Linked DNA regions of Macaca fascicularis. The protein of the gene in region 1 interacts with the protein of each later gene in a pairwise test. Links are inferred from orthologs where the notes say so. Each region holds a gene or a part of one and is shown on either strand. Other genes may lie near its edges.

Region 1 (6,158 bases):
TTGAGTTCAGGAGTTTGAGACCATCCTGGCCAACATGGTGAAACCCTGTCTCTACTAAAAATTAAAAAAAAAAAAAAAAAAAAAAATTAGCCGGGAGTGGTGGTGCGCACATGTAGTTCCAGCTACTCAGGAGGCTGAGGCATGGAAATCGCTTGAACCTGGGAGGTGGAGATTGCAGTGAGCTGAGATCTCACCACTGCACTCCAGCCTGGGTGACAAGAGCGAAACTCCGTCTCTAGCTGGGCATAGTGCCACATGCCTGTAGTCCCAGCTACTTAGGAGACTGAAGTGGGAGGATCACTTGAGCCCAGGAGTGGAAGACAACAGTGATCTATGATAACACCACTGCACTCCAGCCTGGGCAACATAGCAAGGCCCCATCTCTACAAAAATAAAGACAATTAGCTGAACGTGGTGGCACACACCTATAGTTCAGGGAGGCCAAGGCAGGAGGATCACTTGAGCCAGGGACGTGGAGGCTGCAGGGAGCTGTGTTTGTGCCGCTGCATTCCGGGCATCAGAGCAAGACCCTGTCTCAAAAAAAGAAAGAAGAAACGAAGAAAAAAAAAAGAAAAACCAAAGAAGTTGCCCAAGGTTATGAACCTAGGGAAACCTAAGGAGGCAGAGAGTCACGGACTCCAAGGCAGGTCAGCCTCCTTGGAGGCTGCTGGGGCTAGGGGCCTCCTGGGGCTACATCCGCAACTCTCACCTCTTCCCCGCTAGATGGGGTCCTTCTCCATCACTGCTGACTCTTCCGCCTGGGACTGGAGCCCAGGCTGCCAGGGAGGGGCCATCTCACCCACAGGGCCCGTCCTCAGCTGGCCGGGGGTGGGAGCCACGGCGGCCGGCCAGGCCTGGCAAGGGCACCGTGTGCCCAGGGAGTCTGGCCCACACCCAGCCCAGAGACAAGGGGCCCATTCAGGGCCCCCCGCCCCGCCCCCAAGCAGCCACCCGGATCCAGCCCGCAGAGGGGACACACTGGGAAGCTGGGGGTGGATCTTGGGCAGCCACCAAAGACCTCATTGTTTCCTGGTCCCCCCGCCCAGCACGTGGGCAGACGCCCCCCCACCCCCAATCCTCGCCTGCCCCTTCCCAGGACCCGAACCGCTGGCTCCCTTCTCCAGTCTCTGTCTCAACCCCTCCATCTCCCACGCTTTAAACCTCCCCAGTCTGCAAAAGATCTCAGGGAAGCCCCAAATGGCAGGCGCAACCCCTGAGTCTGAACACAAGCAACGAACGAGATGTCAACCTCCAAATTCAAGTTTCTTCAGAATTTTTAATTATTATTATTTTAATAACAACCTGAATCCCAGAACTTCCAGATACTGTCCACACTCCCTCCCCTAGGCAGAGGAGAGGATGCACCTCAAGGGAACAAGGTGGGGGTGGGGTGTCTGCCAGGGAGCCTCCAACTCCCCCAGGCCGTCGACTGCTGGGGGTCCCATGAGGGAGGGTGGAGGTTGGTTCCCTCCCAGAGGGGGCTCCCTCTGATGCCCCGTCCTGAAGTCCTCCCTCCTCCATCAAGGCTGGGGATGATGAGGAGATGGGGCAGGGGCCGGGGGACCAGGCCGTTACTGAGCCTTGAACTCCCACCCTGGGGACATGGGGACATTAAAGCTGCATAGGAAGAGGGGGCAGGCGGCTGACAAAAGGCCGGGCAGCCCCAAAGGCACATTGTAAGGGAAGGGAGGCTCAGACGGAGGGCCCATTGGGCGCGGAGGGCCCAAGCCGTGGGACCCCCGAGGAGGGCAGCTGAGCCAGCTGCTCCGGGCTGGCCAGGGCGCGCAGCAGCCCGTTCTCCTGCTCCAGCGCAGCGTTCCGCTCTGCCAGTTCCCGGATCTGCTCCTTCAGTACCTCCACCTCCTCCCGGACCGCAAACATGAGGTGGGACTTCACCAAATCCTGGGGGCCCCGGGGACAGGCACAGTGTCAACGGAGTGGGTGCCTCATCCCCTGCCCAGTGCCTCAAGGGCCGGGATGGGAGAGAGTCCCGTGTCCAGAGGATGAGAGACAAAGCAGGGAAGGGACAGGGGAAAAGGACGAGGGACAGAGGCAGAGTCAGAGCTCAAAGACAGAGATGGGGACCAGCAGCCAGACCAGAGGCCGGGCAAAGTCAAGGGTGCAGGTGGCGGTAGGAGGGGGCAGAGGATGCCCAGGAGCCCAGCAGGGAGAGGGATGGAGGAACTGGGAGTTGGTGTTCCCTGGTAAGGAAGAAGACAGGGCTGGGGCGGAGGGATGGCTTAAGGGGGCCGGGACCTCCTGGGACCAAGATGGCTTCTCTTACCATGGCTTGCTCGATTTTGTTGTCAATGCCAACCAGGCTTCCGGAGCCACTGGAGAGACACAGGAAGGTGAGGGGAGGAGAGGAGGAGCCTTCCCAGGTGCTGGTTTCTTGGACCACAGCCTCCCGCCCACACCCCCCTATACCTGTGACAGTAGAGAATGAGGGAGAGGAGGGTTTTGTCCATCCCCCTGCGGGCTGAGGGCCGCTGCCCAGGGCCTCCCAGGCCCCGGTGGGGCGGGGGCCCAGATGTCCCTCGTATGGGGGACGCACCCCGGGGAGAGCAAGGGGAAGAGGCACAGCCCCTTTTTCGGGGCGGCCCCGGAGCCATCCCCACCACTCGGGTCTCATAAGATGACACCAGGGACTTGACAGAGATCCCTGGCTGGGCCATGCCCAAGGGGAAAGGGTCCTTAGACGCCCCCCCAACGGAGAAGGATGCAGTGAAGGGAATGCCTGGGGGGCTCAGAGCCCCCCGGGCAGAGCGGGGTCTGGCTGGTGCCAGGCGGGCAGAGAGGAGACAGTGCCTCGGGGGTGCTGGCCTGAAAGATATACACCACCCCCCCCAAGGGCAAGGCCTGGCTGCTATTGGCTCCTTGGGGACACGGGGACCCCCCCTCCCCTCGGCTCCTCGGTGGGCGGGAATTCCCAGACACGGTCAGTGCCAGTGTCCCCTTCTCACCCTGGCACCAATCCCAGAGTGGAGGGGAGGGGGCCGGCCGAGGAAGTCAGCTGGTGGCTGGGCCAGGGGAGGGGCGTGGGGCAGAAGCCTGGGTCTGAGAGGGGAGTAAAGGGTGTGAAGGGAGACGAAGGGCCTGGCCCTCGGAGGCCCCTCCCCACCTCTGACCCCATCCTGTCCCCTCTGTCCCTCAAGGCCTTGGGAAAGAGGGTGGAGGTGGCTGGGGTAGGGGGCGTTCTGACGTACTCGTGGTCTTCCATAGATCATGAGTGCTCTACTACCAAAAAACCCCACAAGGCTCACATCATGGGTGACCCCGGGACCTGGCCAGAGGGTCCCTGACTTTCCAGAGAAGACCAAAAATGGGAAAGGTTACCACGGCAACAGAAACTGAGCCCAGAGCCCTAGAAGACGAATACAGCCTAAAGGCCAGGTGCGGTGGCTCACACCTGTAATCCCAGCACTTTGGGAGGCTGAGGTGGGTGGATCATTTGAGGTCAGGAGTTCGAGACCAGCCTGGCTAACACGGTGAAACCCCATCTCTACTGAAAATACAAAAATTAGCCAGGCATGGTGGAGGGTGCCAGTAATCCCAGCTACTCAGGAGGCTGAGGCAGGAGAATTGCTTGAACCGGGAGGTAGAGGTTGCAGTGAGCTAAGATCGTGCTACTACACTCCAGCCTGGAAGACAGAGTGAGATCCTGTCTCAAAAAAAAAAAAAAAAAGGGACAGGCATGGTGGCACATGCCCGTAATCCCAGCACTTTGGGAGGCTGAGGCAGGCGGATCTCCTGAGGTCAGAAGTTCAAGACCAGCCTGGCCAACATGGTGAAACCCTGGCTCTACTAGAAGTACAAAAAATTAGCCAGGCGTGGTGGCAGGTGCCTGTAATCCCAGCTACTCAGGAGGCTGAGGCAGGAGAATCGCTTGAACCTGGGAGGTGGAGACTGCAGTGAGCCGAGATCAGGCCACTGCACTCCAGCCGGGGCAACAAGAGCAAAACTCTGTCTTAAAAAAAAAATACCGCCGGATCACGAGGTCAGGAGATCGAGACCATCCTGGCTAACACGGTGAAACCCCGTCTCTACTAAAAAATACAAAAAACTAGCCGGGCGAGGTGGTGGGCGCCTGTAGTCCCAGCTACTCAGGAGGCTGAGGCAGGAGAATGGCGTGAACCCGGGAGGCGGAGCTTGCAGTGAGCTGAGATCTGGCCACTGCACTCCAGCCTGGGCGACAGAGCCAGACTCCGTCTCAAAAAAAAAAAAAAAAAAAACCGCCTATGGGCCTGGGACCTGGGTCTGGGGTCTCAGAGGAAGCGAGGGCTCAGAGGAGAGGAAGGGAAGTGAGCTTGGAGATGGGACATTGGGAAGAGGAGCAACAGGGCTTGGAAGAGAGGTGGGAGTCCCAGGTGACAGGGTCTGGCTGCAGTCTGGGAAGTGGCCACCAGAGGGCGACTCAGGCCTGGCTCAACAGCCCCCAGGGCCAGGCTCCAGGCTGGCTCCAAGACGCTGGGCTCTTGGTCCCAGAACCTGGCTCTCCCTCAAGCCCCACTCTCACCGCCCAGGACCTGCACAGGCTCTTGTGCCGACCTCATCCTCCAAGGCTCCCTCTCCCACCACTCTGGCCCCAGGCTCTTGCCCTGAGGCTCCAGACCTACCCTTGTACCCCTGCACTCTGGTGCTGTGGTGGGATCCCCAGTCCTGCCCTCCAGCCCCCAGCTGGGCCCCGCTCGGAGCAGGGGCCTCAAGGGGCTGCAGGCCACATCCCTGGGCTCCCTTGTAAGCTCTCCCTCCTGGCTGTCAGCTCAGACTCGCTTCCCCGCAGGGGGATCAGCACTCAATTCAAGGTGACCCTTGGATGAGGTCCTGCAGCCAGGAAGGGAGCACAGGGAGCTGGGAATTTTCCATTTCTCATCCAAGCTCTGGGTGCAGAACGCGCTGACAGGTAGAGCAACTGAGGTGACCAGGCCTGAGTGAGCAGGATGGGGTGGGTGGGGGAAGGGAATCTGGGACTCCTGGGGCAGTGGGAGAGGAGAAGTTGAAGGCGGGGTGGTGGGTCTGCCAGCAGGAGGGTCAAAGTAATTTTTGAGCTATTTCAATCAGCAACACCTGAGTGGATATGGAGCCACCACAGAAAACCCAATACCCCCCCTCCACCACATTACACAGACTCACAGAGACCAAAGCGGGTGGATACCTAGGGATAGGAACATGGGCCCTGCTTGGCGGAGACTCAGGGGTAAAGATGTCAAGTAAGGTGTTCGTTCTCGCCAGAGATAAAGGAATAATACAACAATAAACGTTTGTTGGCCAATAGGTGACTGTCTTCTGTTTGTCTAGCGCCTGAGAGTTTCTGACAGCACTTTCCACTGGGGCTTTTTTTTTTTTTTTAAGACTAAGTCTTGCTCTTGTCGCCCAGGCTGGAGTACAATGGCGCGATTTCGGCTCACTGGAACCTCCACCTCCCGGGTTCAAGCGATTATCCTGCCTCAGCCTCCAGAGTAGCTGAGATTACAAGCATGCGCCACCACGCCCAGCTAATTTTTGTATTTTTAGTAGAGATGGGGTTTCACCATGTTGGCCAGGCTGGTCGCCAACTCCTGACCTCGTGATCCGCCCGCCTCAACCTCCCAAAATGCTGGGATTACAGGTGTGAGCCACCGCGCCCAGCCTCCATTGGAACATTCTAACACACACTTCAAGGGACCAGGACTCTGGCAACGCAGGCCTTCCCCTTTAGGACCCCAGAGTGAGGGGTTGTGGGCACTGTGCTAGAATTCTTTGACAGGGTCCAGGGGAGGAAAGTAGTGGCTGCTGAGACAGGACCTACCTCCACCACAAGCCCAAAAGCAAGTTTGTGTGGATTAGAAAATGCCCCTTTCTTCAAGACCCTTAATGCCACCTTCCGGAAAACTGTCGTGACTTCCAGCATTGACTGTGATTTCAAATATGAGCAGCACCCCCTGGAGTTGTGCAGTGTGTGACATGCACAGTGGGAGACTTAGCCCTGCAGGACTCTCGGTCCCGGGGCAGGGACAGCCCTAGAAGCTGGTCTTCCTCTTTGAGGGTCAAATAAAACGGCCTCAACATGAAGATGGGATAAAAAGCAGGACACCTGGCCGGGCGCGGTGGCTCAAGCCTGTAATCCCAGCACTTTGGGAGGCCGAGACGGGTGGATCACGAGGTCAGAAGATCGAGAC
Region 2 (6,158 bases), on another chromosome or scaffold:
AGTGGAGGCCAGTGTGATGCAGGTGCTGGCCAGGGGGCCACGGAAAAGGAAGGGGCTGGGTTGGGCTGAGCATGCCTGTGGGGGTCCATGTCCCACTAGCTGGTGTGTCACCTGAGGCCCAAGGACTGAAAAGAGCACGGGGGTTGAGGTGGGTGGGCAAAGATAAACAGCAGGGACAGGGTCAGGGTAGGATGGGGAGGGCGGTGCTGGGGCTGTGGGGGCTGGTGCAGAGGGAGTCCGACCTTGAGTAGCTGTCCCTTGGCAAAACTTGTGAGGCAGTAGCGCGCCTGGGCCTCAGGGCTTAGCAGCAGGTTGTACAGGGCTATCCACACTTGCCCGTCCAACTTGCTCAGCTTTTGCTGCTCTGAGGGGGCCACAGTATGCCAACGGCTGCCCTCGAACTGCTGCAGCTTGCCTGGGGAGAGGAACCAGCACACTGGGTACAGGCATTGCATTCTCTTCAAGTGAGCCAGCTGTGGGGCCTGGGAGACTGACCACTGCCTGGGAATGGTGGGAGAACCTGGGCCACAGGACTTGCCCAGGCTATAATGCTGCTGACCCCAGAGCAGAGTGAGCCTCAGTAGTGGACACATGGGCCTGGCCTGCTGCAGAGCTCAGGTCTAGGCCACTCTTGGCTGAGGCATCCTGGTATCCTCAGATGGGCTTGGGGACGGGGTTTGTCTTCGTGTGTGCAAACTGCCCCCTCTATCAAAAAGATATCCTGAAGCAGTAGCCTGGGGCTTAGGCTGGTGTGGGAGGACCCTACCTCCTTCCCGCCGGTTCCAGGGACTATGCTCCAGCAGTTCCACCAGGAGGCAGGGCAGGTTGTGTGTGCTAAGCATACGGCTCAAGGTGCTGAGAGAGAGGCTAGGGGCAGGGACGTTGTGAAGGAGGTGAGCAGAGGCAGGCTACAGGCCCAGTCTTCCAGCCCTCCACGGTAGGCCCAGGCCCAGTCGGACTGCCCACCTGTCCACACAGTCTGTGATGTAGCGCAGTACTGAGAGGGCCTTCAGTGCAATCTCAAATTCCATCAGCTCTGCCTGCTTCTGCAGCTCCTGCGAGGTCACACAGTGTTCATGCTGGGCTACCCTTGCCTGTGCAGGCCTTGGGGAACCCAGACCTAGGCTTTCACAATCCTAGGTAACCTCAACCCACCTGCATGGGGTTGCTGTCCTGGGACCCCTCCCCTTCAGGGGGGCCACCACAGCCACTCCGGGCCACCAGCAGAATCAGTTTGCGGTGGCAATAGTCTACCAAGTCCAAGACAGTGTCTTCTGCTGACTCACACACCTCCTGGGGAAAGGGGGAGGGAAACTTTCTGTGTCTGATGCCCTCCCCACACAGATACAACCTCCCTTCCTGCCAGGCCCTGACCTGAAACTGTGGCCCATGGGCAGAGATAGTCCCTCACCTTGTGGAAGAACACTGTCTCCAAGAGGTTGATGATGGAGGCCTCGTGGTGCACCTGACAGACAAAGAGAGGGACAGGGCCTGTGGTAGGGATAGGGGCTACCAGCTCCCCTCCCCAGTCCAGAGCCCTCTGAAGGAGTGGGAGGAGGTATGAACCAGGGGCCCAGCTCACCACCATGTAGATGGGAAAGGTGTTCTGGGGCTTGAAGTCCTCCACCCTGCAGAGCACGGGGAACACCTTCTGCTTCCACATCTCCACTGCGATCAACTCCTCCACCAGTGTTGGGACCTTTGAAGGATGGGGTAAAGGACAGGGATGAGATGGGCCTACCTTTGCCTGGCAACCCTCCCATCCCCAGCTTGGCTCAGCTCAGCCCAGATCTCCCCAAACACTGCTGGGCCCCTAAACTATCCCAAACCCCATGGCTATCCTTCCTGACTTTTCTCTTGCATTTCGGACCTTCGTTTCCAGCTGCTCCCAACACCTCTGTGGATGTCCCTCATGCTTATGTGACTGGCTCCTGCCCAGTTCCCAGACTGCCTTGCCCTGCCTGCACCTGCCCCGTTATCCTCTCCCCGCCCATTCAGGCGTCCCTTTCAAGTCAGCCCTTCTGCTCATGCCCTCCCTCTTGTCCCTGTCCTGTGGTTCTCTAAGGCTCTTGTGTGCCTTTGGCCTCACTCTTACTCAGGACCCTTCACAGTGCCCTGTTCTTCTTATCCTATCCCCTTGTATGAGTTCCACCTTTCTCTTGCAAAGGAACTCTTTTTTTTTTTTTAGACAGAGTTTCACTCTTGTCACCAAGGCTGGAGTGCAGTGGCACGATCTCGGCTCTCTGTAACCTCTGTCTCCTAGGTTCAAGCGATTCTCCTGCCTCAGCCTCCCGAGTAGCTGGGATTACAGGTGTGCACCACCATGCTCAGCAAATTTTTGTATTTTTAGTAGAGGCAGGGTTTCACCATGTTGGTCAGGCTGGCCTTGCACTCCTGACCCCAGGTGATCCACCCGTCTTGGCCTCTCAAAGTGCTAGGATTACAGGCATGAGCCACCATGCCTGGCTTTTTTTTTTTTTTTTTTTTTTTTGGTCAATTGATATCTCAGGTCATCTGCTGGTGACACTCCCTGGTCCATGTTCCAGCCAGCCATCTCATTGGTTTCTAACTTTCCCCTCTCATGTTAGGAAGGCTGCCTCCTTCCATGCCAAAGTTCTACTTCCAGTTAAGTTATCTCCCCTCCCTCCTGCCCTCCCCACCCCCTCCCCAGCCTTACAGTCAATTCACAGATGCCTTTAGCATTTGGGCCTTCCCCTCGAAGCCTAAGCTGTTTTAGGACCTACAGCTTTCTCCCTAATCAACTCATGCCCTGTACCTAGCCTGGTGTGCCAGAGTCCTGTCCAACAGCGACACAAAATGAAACATGTAACACATTCCTCTCTCCCCTTCAGGGAGGACAGGTGTACCAGGCCAGAGGGGAAAAGCACACAGGGGACTCCTGAGGGTTAGAGTAGGTGAGGTATGGGGGAAGGCAGGAACCCTGCCTGTGACCTCGGGGTACCTTCCCATGGGTGACCAGCAGCTCCTGAATGGGCTCGCCCTGGCTGATTGTGGCATCGAGGATGGCTTGCATGTTCAGCTTCTCCAGGTTCTCGTGCTGCTGGTTCCACCTGCCTCAGAGGGTTGTGTAAGTGCATGTGGGTCCACGTGTGTGCATTTGGAGTGGGGATGGGGGCTGGATCCTATTGAAGCCTAACCTGATCCTGAGGGGACACAGGGGGCTCAGGAACAATTATATTCCTGTCTCGGAACACTCTGCTCCCCCATTTGGGAGCCCCTCCACACTGGGCAGCCCCTCCCCCCATGTCAGGCTCCAGCTCCCCCACTCAGGGACAATGACTCCGTGACTCCGCCTGACCCGGGTGCCTCACCCTTCGGAGCCCATCTCGCGTAGCGGGAAGCTGCGCAGACCCCGCACCAGCACTTCAGCTTCCCCGGGCAGCAGCAGTTCCAGGTCTCCCATATCGAGGCCGGGGTCCGGCGGATCCTGGGCAGCAGCCGGGGTGGGGATGCTGACACACTCGGGGACGACGGACCCCGACGGTGCCAAAGTCTGGGACAGGACAGTTGTGGGACGGTTGGGGAGCGTGAGTTCTCGCAGCCATGGAAACGGGTTAGCCGCGCCTGCGCAGTGCGGCTTGGGCTCCGCCCCTGGAGGTGGCTCGCGCCTAAATCCGGGCGGGTCTCCAGCCCGCCTCGCCTACGGGGCTGCCAATCGCCACAGTATTTGGATTCCCACAGCTTTCTCGCGATGTGGACCACGAGTCTCTCCTGAGCTCCAGTTCCTTGTGGTCTGGACTCTGCCCTCGGACGCCAAGTCGGCTTGCACGGGGATGGGGGTAACCCCGACCCCACGAGCTCCTCCTGCTGCTGCTGCGGCATCTTGACCCACCCGCTGCTCCACCTCCTCCTTATGGCTTCCTGATTCCTCTGTTTCTCGCGTCCCGGCTCCATTAGTTGGCTCCTGAAATACTGCCAGGGCGCACGACTTCTCTCCATCCTCCCTATGTCCAGACTGTCATCACCTGTCGTGGGTTAACTGCGGCAGCCTTTTCTGTAGACTTACTTCCACGCTTGATCCTCACGGACAGCCCCGGAGCCTTAAAAGTGTGTATCACGCCGGGCGCGGTGGCTCACGCCTGTAATCTCAACACTTTGGGAGGCCGAGGCGGGCAGATCACTTAAGGTCAGGAGTTTGAGACCAGCCTGGGCAACATGGTGAAACCCTGTCTCTATTAAAAGTACAAAAATTAGGCCGGGCGCGATGGCTCAAGCCTGTAATCCCAGCACTTTGGGAGGCCGAGACGGGCGGATCACGAGGTCAGGAGATCGAGACCATCCTGGCTAACACGGTGAAACCCCGTCTTTACTAAAAAATACAAAAAACTAGCCGGGCGAGGTGGCGGGCGCCTGTAGTCCCAGCTACTTGGGAGGCTGAGGCAGGAGAATGGCGTAAACCCGGGAGGCGGAGCTTGCAGTGAGCTGAGATCAGGCCACTGCACTCCAGCCTGGGCCACAGAGCGAGACTCCGTCTCAAAAAAAAAAAAAAAGTACAAAAATTAGACAGGTGTGGTAGCACACACCAGTTGTCCCAGCTACTCGGGAGACTGAGGCAGGAGAATCGCTTGAGCACAGGAGGCGGAGTTTGCAGTGAGGCAAGATTCCACCACTGCACTCCAGCTTGGACAACAAAGGGAGACTCTGTCTCAAAAAAAAAAAAAAAAAAAAAAAAAAAGTGTATAGGCATCATTCCCTCACATGAGAGGGGCTCTGCAACTACCTCTGGCCCTCAAAATGCTAGGTCGGGTGCTGCTTACCAGCAGCTCTGCAAGACCTACTTCTTGCCTGTCTTGTACCTCGGGACTTGGATTCTTTCCTCTCCTCCTTTCTTCCCTGGACCTACCTCATACATTCCAAAGAGGTTTTGCCTCAGGGTTTTGCACTTTGCCTGGAATACTCTTCCTTCAGGGCTCAGTTTACATCTCAGTATGGCCTTTCTTGGCCGTTTAATCCAGAGCAGTCCCTGCCTCCAACCCCCTTTTTTTTTTTTTTTTTTTTTTTTGAGAGTCTCAGTCTGTCACCCAGGCTGGAGTGCAGTGGTGTGGTCTCACTCACTGCAACTTTCACCTCCTGGGTTCAAGCCATTCTCTGCCTCAGCCTCCCAAGTAGCTGGGATTACAGGCACCCACCACACACGCGGTTTTTTGTATTTTTAGTAGAGACAGGGTTTCACCACCTTGGCCAGGCTGGTCTTGAACTCCTGACCTCGTGATCCACCTGCCTCGACCTCCCAACTCACTCTTGATCACATCTGTTCCTTTTTTTGAGATTGAGTCTCCTGTCACCTAGGCTGGAGTGCAGTGGCATGATCTCGGCTCACTGCAACCTCTGCCTCCCAGGTTCAAGTGATTCTCTTGCCTCAGCTTCCTGAGTAGCTGGGATTACAGGTGCGCACCACCACACCTGGCTAATTTTTTATATTTTTTTTAGTGGAGATGGGGTTTCACTATGTTGGCCAGGTTGTTCTTGACCATCTGACCTCAGGTGATCTACCCGTCTCAGCCTCCCGAAGTGCTGGGATTATAGGTATGAGCCACAGCACCCAGCTACATCTGTTTCTTTCTAGGTTTATTATTATTATTGAGATGGGGTCTTGCTCTATCACCCAGGCTGGGGTGCAGTGATGGGATCACAGCTAAATGTAGCCTCCAACTCCTGGCCTCAAGTGATCCCCCCACTTCAGCCTCCTGAGTAACTGGGGCTACAGGTGAGTCACCGCGACCAGACGATTTTTTTTTTTTTTTGTAATTAACCGGCACTTTTACTTGTCGATTGTCGGTCCTGCCCACCAGATGGCGATCTAGAGCACAGCTCGTAGCTATTTCATTCACCGCTGGGTCTCCGGTGGCTGGCCCAGAAGCAGCACTCAATAAAGGCTGTTTGAAATGGATGTCTTTATTTACAGAACTAAGAGTCAAGCTCTAGACAGTATGACAAGCCTCCTGGTAGGAGGGACTACCCACAGCAATGTGTCCATCCAGCCACCACCAGCCTCACTTCCAGCAGATGATAATGTTGGGGTCATTTTCAAGCCGCTCATCCAGCTCATGGTAGCTCATGCCTGGGTGGGGTGGTGGAGGAGAGGTCGGTGGCCTTGGCCTGGCCACCCTACCCTGACCCCACCCTGACTGCCCGCC

The links. The genes of interacting proteins can lie anywhere in the genome.
Region 2: the proteins of TSC22D4 (region 1) and ZMYND10 interact in binary tests that used the Homo sapiens proteins (3 or more experiments, as listed by UniProt). The two-hybrid records come from large-scale screens. The link is inferred for Macaca fascicularis from reciprocal best matches to the Homo sapiens genes TSC22D4 and ZMYND10.

Annotation. Positions count from the first base shown.
Region 1 is NC_088377.1:49,047,970-49,054,127, forward strand, and holds the end of TSC22D4 (TSC22 domain family protein 4), read right to left. Parts: intron 2,428-6,158; coding exon of another isoform or gene 2,334-2,427; coding exon 2,285-2,333; intron 1,903-2,284; coding exon 1,693-1,902; 3' UTR 1,257-1,692; downstream 1-1,256.
Region 2 is NC_088376.1:113,377,754-113,383,911, forward strand, and holds the start of ZMYND10 (zinc finger MYND domain-containing protein 10), read right to left. Parts: upstream 3,567-6,158; 5' UTR 3,425-3,566; coding exon 3,333-3,424; intron 3,072-3,332; coding exon 2,963-3,071; intron 1,700-2,962; coding exon 1,583-1,699; intron 1,466-1,582; coding exon 1,412-1,465; intron 1,294-1,411; coding exon 1,156-1,293; intron 1,056-1,155; coding exon 967-1,055; intron 868-966; coding exon 767-867; intron 416-766; coding exon 243-415; intron 126-242; coding exon of another isoform or gene 108-125; exon of another isoform or gene 1-107. Other genes in the region: GATOR1 complex protein NPRL2, read right to left, coding at 6,015-6,082. UniProt on the Homo sapiens protein: Plays a role in axonemal structure organization and motility. Involved in axonemal pre-assembly of inner and outer dynein arms (IDA and ODA, respectively) for proper axoneme building for cilia motility.